Bombyx mori: one gene and its partner. The protein of the gene in region 2 interacts with the protein of the main gene of each other region in a biochemical or structural test. Links are inferred from orthologs where the notes say so. Each region holds a gene or a part of one and is shown on either strand. Other genes may lie near its edges.

Region 1 (3,057 bases), on a different chromosome or scaffold from region 2:
TGAAATTTATATTAAGTTGAAAATACATACAGAAAAAAGTATATACATAAATACATACAATGACATATACATATACATACATACACACATATATAATATATACATGTAGTAGTAGTGTTAACTATGAATATTTTGGGAGGCTTAAACGACAAAGGGAAGATCTTCCACCGAGCGGGTGATATTTCTCGGTAGACCGACGGTCCGAAAGTTGTTGTTCGGAACTTGTATGTATGTGAGCTTATCTGGAAAATGTCGTCAGCGAGATTCAGGCATCTGTAAAATATATTTTTTAAGGGATTTTATGACCTGGTAACTGAGACCTTTAAGTCATGTCTTATTTTAATTTATATTCATATTTTTATGAAAAATGATATTATGGAGTGAAATGAAATGAAGATGGTTAATTTGAGACATTAATCAACTGGGATGAAATTAAATGAGATGATATGGGATGAAATATAATCTCAGTAAAATGGTGGTCATTTACTAAGATTTTTTCAGTGGACTTTTTGGAGGATCCGGAGACGTTACGTACAGCGGCTTTGTTTCATTTCCCACATTTGTGCACTTTCACAGATATTAAACAATTAATAAACCACTATTATTACACATCTAAACCTGAACAAACAGTAAATAGACAAAATAAAACAAATCACACAACTTCACTTCTCGCGTTCCCGCCAAAAAGTCCTCTGTCAAATATTTTGCGTTGTATGATGGCTACCCGCCACAAATATGAACTCATATTAGTAGTGTTAACTACGAATCAGATTGTGGGTATTTTGAAAAAAAAACCTCATGTTTCTGTTTTACGCTGCTAATTATGTTGAAATCAGTTTTGCAATCAAAACTCCTTAACTCGCTATTTTGGATTTCACTGTTCTAATTTAAAAGGTGGCATTATTTCAGTTCTGGCAACACTTCGGTGGTGGTGCACCAGTGGGAGGGTAGCTACACGCAGAAGGGACGCAACCTCATCTGGAGCATTCCGCTCGTGAGCAAACAACAGAAAACCGGGAGTCTTGAGTTCACGTGAGTTTTGACTACCCTCCCTAAGGAACGTGGATCTCCATAATGATTTGGAGCTTGATTCAGTATTTACAGTCGTCATCATTGCGCCACTTTGAGAAGGCGGCACGACATGAGAACCCTCTTGTCGTGGCTTTTATTTTATTTTCATTGCTTAGAAGTGTGGACGAGCTCACAGCCCACCTGGTGTTAAGTGGTTGCTGGAAACCATGGACATCTACAACGTAAATACCGCCACCCACCTTGAGATATAAGTTCTAAGGTCTCAGTATAGTTACAACGGCTGTCCCACCCTGCAAACCGAAACGCATTACTGCTTCACGGCAGAAATAGACAGGGAGGTGGTACCTACCGTACCGTGCGGACTTACAAGACGTCTTACCACCAGTAATATATGTTAATCCGTGATCCGTGATCCACACCGAGCTGTAGACTAACCATTTGATTTTTATTAAACATTAATTTCCCTCTTTTAATTTTATTTTTATTGTTGATTGTTTTTTGTAAGTTTTTATATGCAGTTTTTGTTTTCTTTGTCTTAGTTTTATTAATATTAGTTGTCGATATTTTTATCTTAAGCACAACCGCTCTTTAAAGCAAGATGTGTTCACATCCAAAAGGGTGAATTCTACAATATATTTTTTTCCAAATAAGTTCAATGTTTATCTATGCAGGTTTTATCCAGTTGTGTGAAGTTAACAATAAAAAAATAAAAAAAAATACATGTCTGCAATTCACACGTGGTAGAAGTGAAACCTTCCAAAATTAAAATACAATTATCCTAAACGTCCTAAATTTTGTCATTAGTAAATAATTGTAAGGTAGCGCCCTCTGTGAATTGATATTTTAATTTCACGTATAATCCTAAATTAAAATTCACTACAAGAGCTTTCATACACACGTTAGTATTAAAAAATCTCACAGATGGCGCTGTATTAAATAGTATATATATTTCTGTCTCATTCTTTGCTGGCTTCATCCTACACATTTTTGTATTTGTGTCTCTTACCTGTCGTTTTTTCCGTTGCATCCGGTTTGAAATCACAACGATTCTAAAGAAGTTTTCACTTCAAAAGAAACATTGAGATAGGAGTTGATTCCATCAAACGTTTTACATTCACAGCGTCACTCCGTCTATACCCAACGACTTCTTCCCGCTCTCCGTGACGTGGACATCGGAAACTTCACTTGCATTATTGACAGCTGTCAAAGTGACGCAAGCGGAAGACGGGTCGCCCGTTGACTTCTCTCAAGAGATCAGTTTCCACGCAGACAAATACGAGTTTGTTTAAACAAATTATTAGTTGTTTTATTTTTTCTTCGTATAGTGGGAAACATTATGTGAATTTATTTTTAATGATTAAAAAAACCCTGCATTATTTGTGTATCGGTAATAAATATATATTGTAAATTAAGACAATGTTTGATTTTACGAATGTGTTTGTTGAAGTGCATTGTTTTGAAATTTTAAAGTTACTGGCAATCAATAAAATCATAGAAGAATATTGTAGATTAAGCGAAAGACACGTTGGTATGTAAAAGTTGATCCAAAAAAATAAACCCGGAGTAATGGAAATTCAACTCTGTGCTGTCGGTGTTTAAAGTTCATTTTAATATTGTGTCAATAACACTATACACATTGCTTAAGATGCTATGCTCATCTACTATCAAGTAGAATGCGTTCTCGAAACATCTTACCAACATTACCGTGAGGGTAGATTGGAAATTTATAAAAGCCTATAATAACTACACGATATATAGCCAGAGATGTAAAGTAACATTGTAGAATTTATTAAATAAATAAAAAATATAAAACAAACAACTGAATTTGTAGTTTTTCTTTTATTGCTGAAACGAATGAATGAGCACGCGGTAAGCCCGATGTTAAGTGAGCACTGGGGCCCATAGGCATCAACAACGTAAATGCCGCATCGACCTTGTCAATTTGACCGATGCATTTGTGAAATCTTTATGCATTACCTAAGCACTAATCACTACATTCATCGATATATTACTTATTACGACTAT
Region 2 (4,288 bases):
TGATAATAGACGACTCATATATACCTTTTCTATATATGAAAAAATAAACATGGAACATCTATCTATCTTTTATCTTTCAACCCACACATATATTTTTTGTGTATTTCAATATTAGGACACTAACCTTATAAATCAACTCGACTATGACCAATTGAAGAATATCTCCAAAGCTGTGTACATTATCGAGCCTAGAAGACAAATATGTCAAAGCACGCTCTTGGTCAGCATGCAGCAGCATGAGGAAGGCATTACGCTTGCAAGACATGTCTTGCTCAGTCTCCAGGAAGTTTGCTACCAGCTCCGGTGCATCAGGAATTAGGAATTCAAAGTTCCTAAAAGGAAAATTTTAATACTGATATATTATGAATAACATTTAATTGTTACAGATGAATTCCCAGGGCATTTCCTATTTGATCTATTTTATTGATAGAAGATAATATATTAATATACCTCTTAATCTTAATATAGCTATAACCAGTTTTAAGTTTTGCAATTACAAGATCCATATTATTTTTTTATATCATCATATATTATAAGACTTCCTGTGGTTGATTAACTTTACAAATGAATTTAGATTTTATATATTCCTCACCTATATATGGTAAAAATAGCAAGAACAGCATTCCTCCTGACATACGAATGTCTGTGCTCGAGACAGGACCGTATGGCTGGCATTAGGGGTTCAAGGAGTTCAGGCTCTTTCAGCTTGCACAGAAAACGCAGAGTAGATCCGCGAATGAACTCATTTGGATGTTGAAGATCCTATAGTCGATTTAAATACTGTTACACTCAAATCACAGTGGTAGGATGATTAACTAGTAAATTAATAAAATTATAAAGAACACATTTTTAAAAGTTATTAAAATCAAATACTGTTTGTTTACAGTTAAATTTTGAAACAGTAGACTCTAAAATGCATAAATAGCTATGAGATTTGAACGCAGCTACAATTCTCTGACAAAATAGAGACAGTTTCATACTAATTTTCTTGGAAATAATCACTTCAAAAAGGCAAAAATATGATTGTCACCCTAACCTTTCTATAGGCATCACAGACAAGGATCATTTCCTGCAATAATTTTCCATCAGGTGAGGTCTTTGGTACAATCTCCCAAAAGATAAGTAGCAGCTTCTTGATCATGTGATCTTGCAATGGCAACACGAACCTAATAATGATCATGAGCAGACCTGGTATCTTTTCCCCAGAAAGTATTATTCCTATTGTCTTTTTTAATGCTTCTATTTTCTTTTTTGTATCACCTTTCTCTGTAAAGTTTGTGATGTAAAATATAATTTAGTCAACATTGGGGGCAAGGTTGCTTATTTTATTTACTACAAAAAATATTTGTGATTACCATCTACCACTGTAGACGGTGCATAAAACTTTTTATTTCAAAAACAAGCGTTTTGAAGGGTTTTCAAATATGTATTAAGGATAAAAATATTTTTATGTTGTCTGATAGGGAAATGTACATTTTAGAAGTACATTTCTTTTAGAAGTTTTTATTATATACTGAACACATGTGTTTTTTAGTAGTCATTTGCAAAACATAATTCCTAAGTCTACTCAATTTCAAAAAATATTCATAGCATATTAATGCATATTTTTCAGACTTTTTAGGTCTAAATAGGAACTAATAACATAAGTGCAAACTACAAATTAATGTAGATCAGAGTTACTGGTGTACAGTAACACCCTATGTAATGAATAATAATAATAACACAGATCCAAAAGTATACATGCATAATACTGGGGGGTCAAGGTAGCAATCACACTTCCAAGTCGTTACCACATTTTTGGAAGAAAAAAGTTGTATTGTAATTTCCAAGTCACTAATAAATAGCTTTTACTGACCAAGAATTATGCAAAACTACTCACCAAGATCAAGTTTAAGTTGCATCTCATTGCATGGTTCTAAATCAGTTGGAAAATTGATAAGAGTATAGCATGGCTGCTCCACAACCGCCATCCTGAGTTAAACATTTAAATTTATTAGTAATAATTTGACTGTAACTGCAAATTTTCTAATCACAATTCATGTTTATTCAAAACCAGAAAACATTTGTTAATTACTCTTCAAACCATTTAATGATGATCCCCAGGTCATAAGCATTGACAATGCCATAGCTAAACTTGAGCTGGTTCATCATTCTGCAACACTAATGGAATCAGCTAACATATTGCCCTTAAGGATGTCAGTTTGTAGAGTACTACCAGTATAATAGATACCAGAACAATTGTAGAACACTGTTGTTGCAAACCTCCTAACGTTATTACTAATAATCTAACAATTATGGAAAACAAGATCATAAATAAGAGTAGCCAATGTAGATTATTAACATGTGTTTTACTCAACTTTTCAGCTGTCCCGATCCTGGCAGTGTTAATTTATGGGCAAATAAATGTGTGTGTGTGTGTGTTTGGTCATATTTAGTTAGTAATGTATTTCTTTAATTTTTATTTTTCTATGTTTATCCTACTAGTTAAATGATCCAGTTGGAAAATCAAAATTGCAATTGTTTAAGATTGCTTTAAAAGTATAGTTGTAATTTACGATCATTCGTATTCAATATTTCGTTTGCTATCATATGTTAGCAGATATTTTAGGCAGTAGCATCAACACGATAGAGTGTTGATATGATACTGCCTAAAAATTCGTGGTTTACTCGTCCGGTATACAGTGACATGTTGTTCTCATACTAACCTGAATGAGTTAAAGATATACTGGGCCACGAAATCACACGATAAGAATGAACTATGAATAATTCAATAATCCTTCATGTATGTACTAAAATACACAAAAAAACGATAAATTAATCCAATTTATTAATTTAGCTCCTCCTCATACACAAATACGTGTCCAGAAACCGACATGTCATTTACGCCACTCAAGTGACATTTGACGTTTTAAGTGTTTTTTTTATTTTTTTTATTGCTTAGATGGACGAGCTCACAGCCCACCCGGTGTTAATTGCTTACTGGAGCCCATAGACATCTACAACGTAAATGCTACCACCCACCTTGAGATATGAATTCTAAGGTCTCAGTATAGTTATAAAAGCTACCCAACCTTCAAACTGAAACGCATTACTGCTTTACGGTAGAAAATAGGCGCTTTGGTGGTACCTACCCGTGCAGACTCACAAGCACAAGAGGTCCTACCACCTGTAAGGTAATGTCTTTTCAAATTTTTAATATATATATTTTTTTTATTGCTTAGATGGGCGAACGAGCTCACAGCCCACCTGGTGTTAAGTGGTTACTGGAGCCCATAAACATCTACAACGTAAATGCGTCACCCACCTTGAGATATAGGCTCTAAGATCTCGGTATAGTTACAACGGCTGCCCTACTTTTCAGACCGAAACGCATTACTGCTTCACGGCAGAAATAGGCGGGGCGGTGGTACCTACCCGCGCGGACTCACAAAAGGTCCTACCACCATTTAATATTTCTAGACGTGTGCTATATTTTGATAATTTAGTTTTTCTTCATGTTTGAAGGTATAAATTGTTTATCATTCGACGTGGCTTCTCAAGTTTTTCCAAAAAGTCAGTTAACCTCGTAAAAAATTTCCATAATTTTCCTCGGAAAATATTTTATTGCCTCTGCATTTATTTGGGATGTTGTTTTGGTTCATTTTATCCAATTGAAATTAAAATCATTGAGTTTTACTCAAAAATTTCAATTGCTTAATCACTGAAAGAAATCGATGAAAATCAATTTGATTGACTGTCACCAACTACATATTATTATATTGATCGAAGGAAAAGTAACAAAAAATACATATCAGTTGTCACTACAAAGGAGAAGAGTAGTGTAAATTATAAAATAGAATTAAGAGACCAATTGATTCAAGATTACTCACATGATTCCAAACAATCAGACTCTACACTTCAATTTTCATAAAAAACGGCGCGGCTTTTGCGTTCAAAGTTAAGAATGCTTTGGACTGTGTTTCCTTTGCTTATCCTAGGAACCGAATAAGTATATATTTTTATTATCATTAATTGACATCGAATTCAAATTCGATTCAGTGGGAATTGTATTGAAATTCGATCAATTTTATATTAGTGGATTTACATGAATTATTTCCGTGATACGTTAGATATTTTTCAGTCGACAGCTTTTGTCAATAAACTCCTATATCCATTTTGGGAATGTATTTCAATCAATTTTTTAATCAATAGATACAAAAAAAATCAGAATGGATGTTTTAGTTACACTTTTCTACGTTCTATTCTCTATATGCGTTGTTTATCCGCCTACCGAGTTCGTGTCTGCAGG

The links.
Region 1: the proteins of COPB (region 2) and COPD form a complex in vitro, tested with the Homo sapiens proteins (2 studies listed by BioGRID). The link is inferred for Bombyx mori from reciprocal best matches to the Homo sapiens genes COPB1 and ARCN1.

Annotation. Positions count from the first base shown.
Region 1 is NC_085130.1:5,911,437-5,914,493, reverse strand, and holds the end of COPD (coatomer protein complex subunit delta), read left to right. Parts: intron 1-909; coding exon 910-1,032; intron 1,033-2,152; coding exon 2,153-2,321; 3' UTR 2,322-2,444; downstream 2,445-3,057. UniProt on the Homo sapiens protein: Component of the coatomer, a cytosolic protein complex that binds to dilysine motifs and reversibly associates with Golgi non-clathrin-coated vesicles, which further mediate biosynthetic protein transport from the ER, via the Golgi up to the trans Golgi network.
Region 2 is NC_085119.1:987,119-991,406, forward strand, and holds the start of COPB (coatomer protein complex subunit beta), read right to left. Parts: upstream 2,910-4,288; 5' UTR 2,706-2,909; intron 1,972-2,705; 5' UTR 1,971-1,971; coding exon 1,880-1,970; intron 1,267-1,879; coding exon 1,037-1,266; intron 763-1,036; coding exon 593-762; intron 333-592; coding exon 125-332; intron 1-124. Other genes in the region: E3 ubiquitin-protein ligase TM129, read left to right, coding at 4,209-4,288. UniProt on the Homo sapiens protein: The coatomer is a cytosolic protein complex that binds to dilysine motifs and reversibly associates with Golgi non-clathrin-coated vesicles, which further mediate biosynthetic protein transport from the ER, via the Golgi up to the trans Golgi network.